Linked DNA regions of Caenorhabditis elegans. The protein of the gene in region 2 interacts with the protein of the main gene of each other region in a pairwise test. Each region holds a gene or a part of one and is shown on either strand. Other genes may lie near its edges.

What was found. The genes of interacting proteins can lie anywhere in the genome.
Region 1: the proteins of cyp-13A7 (region 2) and F53B7.4 interact in a two-hybrid assay, tested with the Caenorhabditis elegans proteins (one large-scale study listed by BioGRID).

What each region holds. Positions count from the first base shown.
Region 1 is NC_003283.11:10,999,280-11,007,045, forward strand, and holds F53B7.4 (Low-density lipoprotein receptor domain class A), read right to left. Parts: upstream 3,256-7,766; coding exon 3,185-3,255; intron 3,121-3,184; coding exon 2,895-3,120; intron 2,852-2,894; coding exon 2,713-2,851; intron 2,664-2,712; coding exon 2,575-2,663; intron 2,528-2,574; coding exon 2,428-2,527; intron 2,383-2,427; coding exon 2,277-2,382; intron 2,122-2,276; coding exon 1,943-2,121; intron 1,901-1,942; coding exon 1,710-1,900; 3' UTR 1,684-1,709; downstream 1-1,683. Other genes in the region: nssp-65 (Activin_recp domain-containing protein), read left to right, coding at 143-350; Protein isy-1, read right to left, coding at 442-943, 991-1,145, 1,189-1,263, 1,330-1,401.
Region 2 is NC_003280.10:9,799,280-9,807,208, forward strand, and holds cyp-13A7 (Putative cytochrome P450 CYP13A7), read left to right. Parts: upstream 1-4,340; coding exon 4,341-4,526; intron 4,527-4,581; coding exon 4,582-4,913; intron 4,914-4,967; coding exon 4,968-5,067; intron 5,068-5,114; coding exon 5,115-5,671; intron 5,672-5,741; coding exon 5,742-5,885; intron 5,886-5,930; coding exon 5,931-6,168; 3' UTR 6,169-6,234; downstream 6,235-7,929. Other genes in the region: cyp-13A5 (Putative cytochrome P450 CYP13A5), read right to left, coding at 1-277, 335-434, 496-827, 874-1,059; cyp-13A6 (Putative cytochrome P450 CYP13A6), read right to left, coding at 1,581-1,824, 1,870-2,013, 2,078-2,634, 2,678-2,777, 2,825-3,156, 3,263-3,442; cyp-13A8 (Putative cytochrome P450 CYP13A8), read right to left, coding at 6,348-6,576, 6,674-6,817, 6,865-7,121, 7,171-7,467, 7,535-7,634, 7,685-7,831, 7,898-7,929. UniProt on the Caenorhabditis elegans protein: Cytochromes P450 are a group of heme-thiolate monooxygenases. They oxidize a variety of structurally unrelated compounds, including steroids, fatty acids, and xenobiotics.

The sequences.
Region 1 (7,766 bases), on a different chromosome or scaffold from region 2:
GTTGGAAGATCTCAAATTTTTAACCTTCCATCCAAATGGAAAACTATTTTTTTAACCAAAAATAAATTTAAATAAATAACCTTACAAAACCTTGACTTAAAATCAATTTCTATATTTGAATAGTTCCAAACTTAATTTTCAGAAACCATCTAAACAGAGTCTCAATTGCTCTCACTTGCCTTCCTCACGATACACTTATTCACACATACTATCCAGAAGGTTGCAAAAGGATATCGTTATCTGAGATAGCGTGTATGTGTTCGCACAGAGAATTCTGCAACACATCATCACGAACGACGATGCCGCTCAGTTTACTTGTATTATCTTCTTTCATTTTTCTAATTTTGTAATTTTCTATTATGAATTAATAAAATAAATGAATAAAACCGAAAATTCATAATTTGAGATGAAAAATTTAAAGAAAATAAATTAAACAAGGAATCAATCCAGATACTTAGCCATGAGTTCTTGCTTCTTTTGTTCCAAAAGCATTTCTTCAATGTCTTGTTGAGTTGGCAGTAGAACATGACGAATAGTCATTGGTCGTCCATCCTCTCCGATGACTGTAGACTCTTGAGTTTCCAGGTCGTCGTCATCGTCTTCTTCGACCTTATAGATATTTTCAGGTGCTGCATCGGAAGCAGTTTGTTGCTTTTGAGCTTGTTTCTCGGCAAACTCCTTATTGATTCGTTCAATGTTTTTCTCTTCAATTAGTTTTTCCAAAGGAATTAAGCGACCATCTTCGTCATCCAAGTAACCAAAATAGTGAGCGTCGATATTTCTCAATAAATCAGCACGATGGCGTCGTTGTTCTTCACCTTCTGTGCTTTTTTCGAATAGTTCGCGTACACCGGGAAGATCTTTTGCAGCTCCAAAATATTTGTAACCTCGGGAATTGCCCGTTTCCCTCCCTATTGCATCGAGTTCTTTTTGTGCATACTTTCTGAAAATAATAATAAGAATAATATGTCTAATTGTCATTTTTCTTACCGATAGTCCGTACCACCCAACTCTCGAATACGTTGTTCCCAAGCATGTTTCAGTTTTATCAGTCGATTAACTTCGTCATTCAAGTCCCGAAGCTTGAATTCACCGAGACCAGGATTTTGGATAGCTGTGATCTTTTTCGAAGCATCTCGCACAATCTAAATAAAGTTCAAAATTACAGGTTTTCATACAAAATCTAACCTCTCGTCTGAATCGCTCAGCATCTGACAAATTCCTGCAATCTTTCACATCGTGGGGTCTTCTGGCAATAGGACCCTGCAATTAAAATTATCTTGATATTAATATTCAAAAAAAAAGAGTAAAATGAAAAGAAAAACTTACCCTCTCCTCTTCCTCCTTCATTCTTCGCCATCGTGCTAGCGCCGTCATAGCCTTTTCCGCATTTCGGGCCATTTTTAAAGCTCGAGTAAGTCTGAAACAATTAAATTTAATTGCGAAATTAAATAAAAAGATATAAAAGCAGAATCAAACAAAAATATAAAGTAAATTGAGCATTTTTGTTTCGAAAAAATAAATGTTTGAAAATGAAATTTTCTAAATAGAGCGCACTTTCGCGCAATAGCGGAGTATCGTTGTGCAGCAATTGGCGGTTATTCAAATTCAATATTTTACACCCTTCAATCATTGAGCAATTTTTAAAGTGTTTCTTTCTGATTGAAAACAAATCATAAATGTAAAAGCTTTATTACAAATAAGTTCATTTAATGTTGAAAAGACATAGCTCTTGAAGCGAATCTATTTCGTTTATCATCAGTTTTGGAATTTAAATCATTTGAGACTGGAACTGCAGTGAGTCCAAATGGAAGACTTTGCCGTCGAAGGAATACTTCTGGCTGATGTGCAGGTGGTTCACAAATTGATTCTTGTGGTGATTGCTCTCTGTCCTCCACTTCTAAAGAAAATTATGGTTTTAGTAGCTAATTTTGTCAAATACCAGGTTCAATTTCACTCAAAGCAGGAGCAGGTTGAAAATTAATCCTGCTCAGAATTGAATGACGATGTCGTGTATGACCTGTAGGTGTAGACGGAACAGTTAATGTCTTTTCTCCTTCATCTTTTGGTTGGTCCCCTTGAACTGAAGGTGGTGGAGCAAGTGCAGGAGGAATTGCTTGTCTACAATAATATAGAATTAAGACTAAATAAGGAAGTATTTCCTTGAGCTTTATGGTTAATCTTTCAGACGCTCTAAGCTCATAAAAAGTTGTTTTATTTGTGTCGGATGGGATATTTATTTTGAATATAATACTACTTCAGACATGTTGACTCACCGAAGATATCGAATAAAAGTGTGCCGAGACGCGTTGCTGTTTTTGGCATAAAATGGGCAACGATAGAACAATCCGGCAGAACATAGTGATAATATCAGAAAGAATACTGTAAACCAAAAGTTATCTTTTTTTTTCGAAAATGTGAATCCACCTATAAATGATCCATTTAAAGCGAAGAATCCAATTAACATAATCTGACTTGATGATAAAGCATCTCTACCATATCTGTATGAAGTGTGAGGTGTACGTGGCTGTAAAAATAAAATAAATGTTTCGAATCTCTGAAACCATTTCTTACAGTAATAAATGCACAAGTTGATTCATCTTCTCCGCAAGTATCCAATCCATCACATTCTAGACTCGAAGAAAAACAGTATTTGGAGCAATCTAGAAATCAGTAATGGTAAAACAGTTTTTGTGTGAAAAATGAGGTTACTGTAGCATAGGCTGTATTCTGGACATCTGATAGACTCATATGAAGAGCATTCCTTTGGATTTGAAAACAATAAAATCGATCGGAAATTCAGATTCATTGGAATTGTCAACCATACTGGAGTTTTCATTAATTGATAACCCTAAAATTTTAATAATTTCTCGTAACTGTTACGGTAATCTAACCTTTGGCTTGCTGTCCACAATGAACTGCATATCAGAGTTTCGTAATATAATTTCATTTGGATTCCGTGGTCTTCTATGGGAAAACATAAGGAAATTGGTAATGGAAACAAGTATAAGATTTCCATTTAGACTTTGAATTTCAATTTCACAAACTTCGGATGTTTCATCTTGCCCAACAGATAAGTAATCATCAGTTGTTATCATTAAAATATCATCGACGTATGCTCTGAAAACTTACGAATTCTCATGATCTCATTTTCTTAAAAATTGACTTCAAACATTAATCTTACTTTTTAAAAGGGCAATAAGCATTTGCTTCTATAGTTATGAAAAATAAAATAAATGTCAAATTGAGAAACATTTCGGAAATCTAAAAAAAAAAAGACGCATGGCAAGAAAACGAAAAGGTGGGTGAAGAAGTCATTGAGATTCAATATTTTTCATCAATTCGGAAAGAAAATGCATTCCGGATGCACATCATCTTCAATTCCCCACTCAAGTTCGTTTACCCTTTATTTTTAAATATAACACATAATTGAAAAATGCGGAAACGATTTTGATAATTGATAGTGAAACTGGGAAATTGGCTGATTGCACGATTTCACTGAAAGAATATCATGTTTTTTAATTCCACAATCATTCTTGCAAGATAATTGGTATTTTTCAAACGTTTTGAAACATTGAATTACCGTTTTGTTATTGAAATGTCTGTTAGCTTAATATTATGTTACACTGAAAATTAACATTGTTAAATTTCATTGGGCATTGCTGAATTCAGAGTAGCTTGTTTTTTAATGTTTTTTAAAAGTTTTCCATAGCTCGGAATATCGGAACAGCAGAACTTTTTATCGACGAGGTGCGAACAATGATCGAACTATTACGAGAACGGCAGTTTTTCGAGTTGACAATAATCTGAAATAGAATGCGACAGAAATCGATCGACATAGTATTTTGCTTGACGTCTGGCAATCATTACAATACAAGGTTTCTGAAAATAACCAATATGAGCGTTTTGTATTCTGCTTCCAGAAAAAAAAACCTGTCGGGGTGGCATACTACAAAATAATGTGTACTGACATGAATTCCCGAGACCGAACTAGGACGCGATACGCTGACTACCCGTGGATATTCCAAATAGAAGATAAATCAACTTTTTATAGTGATCTGTAAAATTTTGGATGTCAACCAGTGCTGTGCGGCTCTCGGCTCTCTGCGCGAGCCGAGAGCCGCATAGAATGATGGGACTCGGCTCTTGGCGCCCGCCAAGAGCCGAAAAATTGGGATTTTTGCCGAAAATTAGGTGTTTTTCAGCTCTCGACGCGAGCCGAGAGCCGGCATTTTGGACCTTTTTCGGCTTTTGGTGAGAGCCGAGAGCCGAAAAAAAATTTCGACTCGGCTCTCGGCGCGAGCCGAGAGCCGACTTTTTCAAGAGCCGCACAGCACTGATGTAAACCTTCAAAAAACATCTTTGACCTGATTTTCCAAAAATATTTTACATTTCGGAGCTGATTAAAATGAACACTTCTTGTAAACGTGTTTTCAGATTTTTCATAATTCGTGGCCTAATAAACATCGCAATCTCATTTCTCGGAAGTAATATTTTCCTACAGTATGATTTTTGGAAAAACACTGACGTTACATTTTTTAGATTGCCACGCTTTCAATATGTCTAATGAGAAGGAAAAACTCTATAAATGTTTGCTCCTAAGCTGATATCTAAAATCACATCTTGTGAGTTTTATTATTTTCTGCCTATTATCAGTTCTGTAGTCATGACACACTGATCAACAGAAAGTAGGTTGAGCATAAGCCTCATTGCACTTTCATCAATGATCGAACATAATTAAGTTGTTGCAGATGTACTATTCCGGTTCTTTTTTGCAAGATCAGTGTCTTCGCCAAACTGAAACTTGTACATGATCAATAGAAAATTCCTCTTGCATTTCAGATTCGTCACTTGATGTGTTCCCGCAAAAGACGTAAAAGTTGGTTGGTTATCCAGAAAATATACAATTGCAAACTGGATATATTTTAATAAAATCTGCTGTCGTCATAATCTTATCAATAGTTTCCAAATTAGATATTTGTAATTCCTTACCTTTTTAATGGTGTGCGGGGATTATTTGCATATACTTTGTACAAATCCCTTCAAATGTCATTATCAGTCCATTTCAATCCGCACTAATGGTTAGCCATGGCTTATATTCTATTTCGAGAGAATAAGTGTGGGAAACTTTGGATCACTTTTTTCTATTTTCGTTATGTTAACTTGATGTGGGAATCGGAAACATATTAATAGAAAAAAAACTAGCCGTTTGCACATTAATAATCAGAGAACGTTTTTTGTGTCCCATTAATAGATTTATGTTGAAAACGAAGGAAGAGTTTCAGTGATTTTTGATTTACGAGTTAAGTAATAAAAATAATTTTCCATTTTTCAAACTAAAGCTTGTAGACTTTTTGAAAACAATTCAAAATGTTTCAAATTTTGAAAAAAAAAGAAAATAACTTTAATAGATAATGTGTGGATGATAAACTTCAGATTGAAATTTCACAAGGCAGAAGTTGAGTTTGTTGTTTTTTTTTATTAATTTCAAGGGAGTTACGGCTCTGGGTTTTTATTATGAAGATTGAAAATGTGCTCAAACGATTGAAGTAATAGCTTGAAGTCAACTTCCAAAACATTTTATGAAGGCTCAAAGTTTTTAAGTTTTGGTTTTGCAGATTTTTGTTGTTTACATGGCATGGAATGTTCCTCTTAATTAATTTTAATGGTTGAATCTTTAAAAAGACATGTTGAGTCATCATAAAACTTTTTTGATAATTCATTGTGCAGTCTCGTTATAAAATTCTGCCGTTTTGTTGAATTTCGTACTACTGTTAAAAAATTTAATTTCAGATTTTTAAAGCAGATAATCGCTTAAGTTGCTCTCAAATTTCTAGAAAATTTGCTCCCCAAAAATAATAAAACCATAGAATTTTGCACATAAAAAATAAAGATGAAACGTTGATCAAATGTTAGTGATGTTTGGTAAAACTGAATGCACTAAAATTGCTACATTGGTCCCCTTGATGTTTCAATGATTTCGTATCAAAGTTTGCAAGTTGTCCAATGAATATGTTGTAACACAAACATTCTTAAATAAAACGTCATATTTTGTCTATTAGCTGAACATCTCAAAGGTTCCTCGAAAATCTTTAGGTCGAAATGATAGCACGTGACCTCTAACATTCTTTCATCACTTACTCATCATCATTCTTCATTCCATTCATTGTTGTCTCAACCCACTCATATACTTTTTTGACGCTTTTCTCTATCACTGTATGCCTATTTCTTAACTTAACCCCTCGTGTTCCATTAAATAGACAAATTACTCATTTCCGTTGTTTCCTTTTACTTTTAGTCAACTCGGAGAAAATGTTGAAATCTAGACAGAAGAACACTCAAATATTAATTATTAGTTGCTACAATAATTTGTCTTCTCAATCTCCAGTGTTGTTCATCATCATTTGCCACACTTGATAAACAATGACCGGAAAGATAATGTAGGGTGGTAAGAGTGACAAACAAAAACAAACACACTCAAAGGCTACTCAAGTTCCCTTTATCAATGATCGGCCAGCATTTCGGACAAAAAAGAGCAAGTACCACTTTTAATAAAAACCGGAAACACTTTTCACACTTCTTTGCATCTGAGGCATAAATTTTGAACATCCGGAGTAGAGCACAAATTTAAATTGTCTGGGAAACTACAAAGAGCAACGCACAAGAATGTTTCTGCATCCCTTGTAGAAATGACTTTCAATTCTTTGTGGACAAATTTTAAAAATCCAATGATCCAAAGTTTTCCACCCGTTTTCATCTCAAAACCAGAAAAACCTTTTTGTGCTAATCTTCTTGTTATCTTCGAAAATCAATTGTTCTAGAAAATAAATCTATACACCCACGTTTGAAAAAAAAGGAAAAATTTTCTATAGACTAAAGGTCAATATGAATCGGATATCCAAAATTAGAAAAATAATATTTATAAATTTTGATATTTTTCGGCAAAAAGAAGATATTTTTGAAAATGACTAACTGTCAAATGAAAGACAAAACTACAACAGTTAGTCAAAAACGTACAAGAATAATTATCTCCTTTCAGGTGTGCAAACTGTTAAATTGTAATTTGCACACTAGGCGTCAAGCCATCCTAGAATATACTTTCTGGAAAATTTATAAGAGCTCTAATAATAGATGCTCTCCGAAATTTACAAATGTTCAACTTTGAATAAAACTAATTGAGTTATGATTTGAAATTTTAATATTATATTCTTTGCAATTATGGGAAATCCAACGTTTCCAAACTATACATAGAAGTTCGGTTCTACTTTTAAAAAATATTTCTGACATTTGAAAATTGTTTTCAGACTTCACTTTTTGGAAATGTTGCGGAATATCTTGAAAATGTTAATTATTGGTTAAAGTTTTAATTATACTTCTAAGACTAGAATTTTCGGAATGTCTAGGAATTATCATGATTTAGAATGAAGTGAAGGTTTTTGATGGTAAATGTGATTGGTGTGAAGCTTTGAGCTTCAAAGATTAATATTTTACGACTAGCAATACGATTAATTGGCAAAATAACATTTATTTCTTGAAAAAAGTTCAAAGATTGTTTTCTATCTCAAAAGAACTGTGAAGAGCTGTTGCTTTTTTTACTAAATTTTGAACGTTTTAAAGGTTGAGAAACAATGAGTGTGGTTTTAGTTATGGTGCCCGGAAGTCCTGAACGAGTGCGTTTGTTTTTGATTTACATATGTTATTCAGCGTGAGAGCAGCGAAAAGACTTGTCTCTATGAAAAAGTACCCAGGAGATATCTGAATTCAAA
Region 2 (7,929 bases):
ATCCTAGTGCGGATTCCTCTTCAAAGAAATCTACATTTGCTCTTGCGTCTAGGAACAAATCAATGAAATCTTGTGGTTCACCAGATGGCTCAATTCCAGCTTTTTCGTCTGCGGCTCTTTGTTCCAGTCGTTTATTCAAAGCTTTTTCCACAGTACTCATAATATCGAAGGCTGGTTGTATAGATGGGAATCTCATGAAGAATTCGCGGAACATAGTTCCCGCTATCGGGAAAATACCAGAAACTAGGAAAGGTAGTTTACGACCATCTTTGAAAATCTAAAATTATAATTTTTGTTATGCTTTTGATGGAATTCAGTACAAAATGCAACTTACTCCTTTCACCTTAGGAAGCATTGGATTTCTAAACATCAGCGATTCTGTTTGACCCATTGCAATTCTTCCAATGATGTCAAGAGTGAATTCTTGGTAGTAGCTGCAAATTGTTTTTTTGTAAATGTTTTGCATCTTCTCAATATTTTTAATTAAAGACTTACTCTAATAAATCTACAGCTTTTCCTTTTGCACTTGCATCGTCCAAATGTCTCATCAACTCTACTACAGTTTCTTCTACAGTACTCATAATTTTTCTGAGGTTTTTATTTGAAAACGTAGGTGATGACAGAGTTCTCAACCGCTTCCAACGGTGCCCTTGAGCCGAGACAAGATGTGCTCTTTTGTTTTTATTTGGGTCTCCTTGAATGGGATTTGTCTTTCTTCCATAGAAATTATCAAACTGTTTCACAAATACTTCATGAACAAATTCTGGATTAGACACAATCAAAGTTTTTTCGACTCCTTCAGTAATACCATATATTGGTCCGTATTCCTGAATATGTGACTCGTTTTTGGTAAACACATAATTTTAAACTCACTTTTGTCCATTCTCCCAATTTCAACAGTCCTGGATTTTCATAGTCTTGGAACTCGTGAATCACTCCAAAAAATGGAAATCCACGGGGTCCTTTGACTCCTTTCCTGATCCAAAATGACCAAATCCAGATATAATATGTCAAAAGTCCAATAAACGAAGCACCAGCAATAAGTATACTTAAACTCATATTTTGGAACAAAATATAGTGTTTCTTCTATCTAGTCCAGAGAGTATTTATATACTAACCGACATATTTACCAAGGCCGTGGTCACAAAAATCATTTGACTTGCTTACTCACTCGGGTGTTTCTCGGCGCAACAAGTCACTATGATTTGTGTTTGAAAAATGGGAAATGAATGACGGAAAATTTGTGACTTGGAATTGGACAGAAGTGAAACAAGATAGTGTTTAGATGATGATTGATTAGCTAGGTAATTCATTTATGATATTTATTGTTAGAGTTTTTTGAAGTTGTTCAAGTAGAATAATGTTCTATACTCCAAAGACAACAACATTTTTTTTTTCATTTTTTTGTAAACCATTTTTTTGTAAACTATCAGTTTGTTTAACTGTTTTCAATATTAAATGTTCAATATAAAATTATGTTTGATTTTATTTTGATTTATTTATGGCTATTTTTCAATTAAAACATATCAGTAAAATAAATATTAATTAGACAATTTTTATACATGTAAAATTACAAAAAATTATGAATCTCTCGGCTCCAATTTCACAATTACACTTTCCGGCGAAAGTGTCAACTTTCCTACCAACTTCACCGGAATCTGTGTATTTTTTGTTGTTCTGAATGAGTATTCTTTGAGAATCTGAGCCAATAAAATCTTCTGCTCCATTTGAGCTAGTCTCATTCCAATGCACTGACGTGGTCCCGAGCCAAATGGAATGTACGATCCATTGTGCTCCAAATGCTCACAAGCTCCGTTTTCCCACCTGTAATATAGAAGATTGTGATGAAAACAAGATCACTAAGATTACCTTTCGGGTTTGAAGTCTTCTACGTCTTCTCCCCAAATTCTTGGATTGTGATGTAGTGTCCATGTGTCAACTTGAATGTTCATTCCCTCATCAAAATTCACCCCGTTGATTGTTGTCTCTCGCATACATTTTCTCGTGTTTGCTCTGTAAGATTATATTGTTCTCACTTTTTTTTAATTTTAAGCCAAAAATAGTCTTGTCAACTTACGTCGTTCCTAATGGATATAATCTCAACGTTTCTTTCATTACACACTCCAAATATTTCAGTTTCGATAAATGATCAAAGAAGATTTCGGGATCTGGACACTCTCTGTCCACTTCTTCTTGTAATTTTGTTTGGATTTCTGGATGTGTTGCAAGAAGATATGTAGCATATGAGAGAGATAATGCAGTTGTGTCAAAGCCAGCAGCTAAAAATACGAAACACTGTGCAATAATCTCATCGAAAGTCAACTCCTTGTTGATTTTTACAACGCTCGATTTTGCAAAATCTTCATTCGCCTCTCCGCTCAATATTTTCACGTCTGGAACTCGGGCATCAAGGAATAAATCAATAAAATCCTGAGGTTCTCCTGGCTCAACTCCTTTTATCTCATCTTTAGCTCGCTGATCAATTCTTGCCTGTACAGCTACTTCTATTAAATCGAAAATTTTGAAGGCTGGAATGAAACTTGCTGGTAGCATTTTTGACATTTTTCTGAAAACTCCTGCGAGCGGAGGAAAGATTCCAGTGATAAGGAACACATGCCAGGAACCGTTGAAAATCTGAAAACACTTGCTATTCTTCTTCAGAATATTATAAACATACGGCTTGAACTTTTGGCAGCAATGGGTTCTTGAACATGTTCGATTCAGACTGGCCAAGAGCAATGCGACTAATTACTCCCAGAGTGTACTCTTGATAGACTCTGAATTTTTATCATAAAACTTAATCACTTACAAAATTACCACTCACATTAACATATCAATATCTTCGTTCTTCCTCACTTTCTGCTCAATATTCCATAAAATTTCAGTTCCACATTCTTGAACAGAGTTCCTCACTTTTCGAAGACTGTTATTGGAAAAAGATGGACTTGACAGTGTCCGAAGACGTTTCCAACGTTTTCCTTGAGTCGAGAAAATATTGACTCGTTTGTCTTTTTCAGGATCACCAATGATTGGACGCAACTTTCGACCATAGAAATTGTCGAATTGTTTTTTGAATATTTCATTGACCATCTCTGGTTCCGAGATTATCATAGTTTGTTGGGGTCCTTCTGTGAAACCGTAAACAGGACCATATTGCTGAAAGTTTATTTTATTAGTTTTCATTGAAATTTAAAAGTTTTTGAAATTTTTGAAACTAGCAGAAATGCGAAAAGGTTTCTAAATTAAAAAAAAAACAACGCACTTTAGTCCAATCCCTGTACTTTAAAAACGGTGGATTCTCATGATCGATGGTCTGAATCAACATTCCAATTCCAGGGAATCCACGTGGACCTTTTATGCCCTTTCGAATAAAATATGACCAGATCCATACGGAGTATGTGAATACTCCTAGTAGAACTGCAGATAATAAAACGAAAATCATGTTTTTATTTTCAGGAATAAAAAAGAAACGTATTGATGTTTTTCGGTAGACCACCTTATAAATAGTATCGGTGGTAGAAACAACAGTCAGACACAAACAACACTTTTCCACACAAATGTGTCGACTGTTGAGATATAGTGTACTGATAAGAGAACATAGAGAATGGGGCAAGCACTTTTTGGAAGGTATAAAAGTTGTACCAATATTCTTCAAACTTTTCACTGCTCAAATGCAAAAAACATAAAGAGGTGATGGAGAGCAGATGGTAGTTAGAAAACTTTTTAAAAAATTAAAAATGATAATGGAGTTTAAAAAAAATATCAATATGTAGAAACAATAGAAAACTAGTTTTGTTTCAGAGATTTGGTTGATCTAGAATTTTAAAATTGTTCTTCATATCTAAAATTTCTTGAAAGAAAGTTAGGGATGAAAATGAGCACTGAAGCTGATAAATCCAAAAAAAAAACTTTTTTTCGTAAGATTAAAATTTTTTGCTTTTTTTCGGCAATTAATTTTTTTAAAACGAGAATATACATAATAGGTTTAGATTCACAAGCTACAAATATGTGACTGTAATAATTATAAAACCATCAGATAGTTTTCAAAAATTGATAAAAGTTTGAAAAAACATCCTCTAAACTTTATTCGAAAATTGAGAATACATTCTAAAGTATCCAGACTACGAATTTTGAAACAAAATCTTCTTGATTGCTGGGTTTCTCCAAATCATACGATTCTTGTCACCCACTTTCTTGTTCTATTAAACACAAACCATAATGTTTTGTGCGACAAGAAGATAAGACTAAAAACTAACTTAACAGATGATCGACAAAAAAGTATATAAATAATGCCACATATTACACAATTTAATTTAATTTAATTTTTTTTGAAACTAGACATGAGTTTCAGTATACTCATAGCTATTGCAATATTTGTTGGAATAATTTCCTATTATTTATGGATTTGGTCATTCTGGATTCGAAAAGGAGTCAAAGGGCCTAGAGGTCTACCATTTCTCGGAGTTATTCACAAGTTCACAAACTATGAGAACCCTGGAGCTTTGAAGTTCAGCGAATGGACAAAGGTAGAATGAATTTATTTATTTTACATTAATCATTAAGTAATGTTTAATATTTCAGAAATACGGACCTGTTTATGGAATTACGGAAGGTGTTGAAAAGACGTTGGTAATTTCGGATCCAGAATTTGTACATGAAGTTTTTGTAAAACAATTTGATAATTTCTACGGGAGAAAATTAACTGCAATTCAAGGAGATCCAAATAAAAACAAGAGAGTACCACTTGTTGCTGCTCAAGGCCATAGATGGAAGCGATTGAGAACTTTAGCTTCTCCTACTTTTTCGAATAAAAGTCTAAGAAAGATTATGGGTACTGTAGAAGAAAGTGTTACGGAGTTGGTCAGATCATTAGAGAAAGCAAGTGCGGAAGGAAAAACTCTTGACATGCTAGAGTATGTTTCAAAATAAAAAGTTTGGAACTGTTTAGACAATTAACTTTTTTAAAGATATTACCAAGAATTCACAATGGATATTATTGGAAAAATGGCAATGGGACAAGAAAAATCCTTAATGTTTAGAAACCCAATGCTAGATAAAGTCAAAACGGTTTGTGGAATGACTTGATTTTAAATAATTTATTTCAAATTTTTCAGATTTTCAAAGAAGGACGAAACAATGTTTTTATGATCTCTGGAATATTTCCTTTCGTTGGAATTGCTCTACGCAACATTTTTGCCAAATTTCCATCACTTCAAATGGCTACCGATATTCAAAGTATTTTGGAGAAGGCTTTGAACAAACGACTGGAACAAAGGGAAGCTGATGAGAAGGCTGGAATTGAGCCATCTGGGGAGCCTCAAGATTTCATCGATTTGTTTTTAGATGCTAGATCAACTGTAGACTTTTTCGAAGGCGAAGCTGAACAAGATTTTGCTAAAAGTGAAGTCTTGAAAGTGGATAAGCATCTGACATTTGATGAGATTATTGGACAACTGTTTGTTTTCTTGTTAGCTGGATACGACACGACTGCCCTTTCTCTGTCATATTCTTCATATCTCCTGGCAACACATCCAGAGATTCAGAAGAAATTACAAGAAGAAGTGGATAGAGAATGTCCAGACCCTGAAGTCACTTTTGATCAGCTGTCGAAATTGAAATATTTGGAATGTGTTGTGAAAGAAGCATTGAGATTGTATCCATTGGCGTCTCTGTTAGTTTTTTTTTAATTTCTAAGTTTTGCCGTGGTGTAGTTTGTTCTCTGTAATTAAAAAATAATTCAGTGTTCACAATCGAAAATGTCTCAAAACCACAAATGTTCTGGGAATGGAAATAGAAGCTGGAACAAATATTAATGTGGATACCTGGTCTCTTCACCATGATCCGAAAGTTTGGGGAGATGATGTTAACGAGTTCAAGCCGGAAAGGTTGGTTTTATTTGACAATTATTTATTTCATCAAATGTTCTACAGATGGGAGTCCGGGGATGAACTATTCTTTGCTAAAGGCGGATATCTTCCGTTCGGCATGGGACCAAGAATTTGTATTGGTATGCGATTGGCTATGATGGAAATGAAAATGCTTTTGACCAATATTTTGAAAAACTATACATTTGAAACCACACCAGAAACTGTGATTCCATTGAAGTTAGTCGGAACTGCTACTATTGCGCCATCAAGTGTGCTGCTCAAACTTAAATCCAGGTTTTGAAATGTGTTTTGTACGGATTGTTGTCTTTGTTTATATATTTACCCAATAAATTTGTATGTTCACGTATTTAAAAGCACAAACTTCTATGTCAGTTACTTAAAAAATTAAATTTAAAGCTATTTGTATTAAGTTGAAGAAAGTTAAAACAACATGGAGGGATTAGGAAAGGTATATTATAATCAAACTCTCGGCTTCAATGACAAGAACAAGTTTTCAGGCCTTGCAGTTGCTCGGCCTACTAATTTAATCGGAAGCTGTGTCTTCGCATTTGTCTCGAAAGTATATTTTTTGAGTATATGTGACAATAATCCTTTCTGCTCCAAAAGTGCAAACCGCATTCCGAGACATACTCTGGGTCCAGCACCAAATGAGAGGTATGCTTGTTGAGGAGTTAATGGAGAGTCCCATCTAAAAATATTTTTAAATTACTTTTTCATAGAATCTTGATAGACGTCACTACGCTCTTGAAAAATCTTTCTTAAAGTACGCATCGAAAATATCTTACCTTTCAGGCTTGAACTCTTCTACGTCATTTCCCCATACATTTTTGTCATGGTGAAGAGTCCAGGTGTCGATCATCACATCAACACCAGCTTCTACAATTTGCTCTCCGATAACCGTATTTCTCATGCATCGGCGGGAGTTTGCACTGAAAGTAAAATATATTTAATTTGTAAGTAAACATTGGAAACTCACAAAGAAGCAAATGGGAACAATCTTAATGACTCCTTGATCACATTATCCATATATTTCAATTTTGAAAGCTGATCAAATGTGATCTCATCATTTGGACATTCTTTGTCTACTTCGTCTTGTAACTTGCTCTGAATTTTTGGATTCAATGCCAAGAAGTATGTAACATAGGAAAGGGAAATGGCTGTAGTATCAAATCCAGCAACTAAAAATACAAAGCACTGGCTAATGATTTCTTGAGTGGTCAGTTGTCGGTTATTCTGAAATTGAAGGAATTTATAAAAATCACTATGTTAATTTCAAGCTTACATAGGAGGATGATTTATGGAATTCGTCATTGCTTTCACCAAAATGTTCAACTTCGGCTCTTGCATTCAAAAACATATCAATATAATCAGCGGCCTCTCCTGGCTCAACTCCATGTTTCTTATCGGCTTCTCGTTGAGCAATCCGGGACATCACTGCGTCCGTTACCGATTTTTGCACGACAATAAAGGGACCAGCTCCGAACTTGCCTACTTTAATGAACAACCATTTGAGAAAAGACACAGCAAATGGAAATCCTCCACTGAACATCCAGATCTGCCAGCGGTTGTGCTCGAAGAACTGTAAAAATACATTTTTGTTAAACTTTTAAAATTAAAAATCAATCCAACAAAGGAGATGAACCTACCCCTTTAACATCCTTTAATAATGGATTTTTAAACATTTGGGAGTCGGGTTGTCCCATGGCAACTCTGGAGATCACGTCAAAGGTGTACTCCTGGTAGAAACTAAAATTTAACAGTAAAACACCTTAATTAGACCGCTATGAACAACTTACAGATGCATATTGACTGCTTTTCCATTCTCTGATTCTTCTCTTAATTTTTTCATAAGCTCCTGTGTGCTATCTTCCATTGTAGTCAATACTTTTTTGATACTGCCATTTGAAAATGCAGGTGCCGTGATTGTTCGGAGACGTTTCCATCTGAAAGTTATCAATTAAAATATGCGAGTGGCAGGCAAGCCAGCACGTCTGAAGTGGTCTCCTTACCTAAAACCTTGAGCTCCAACAATATGAATATC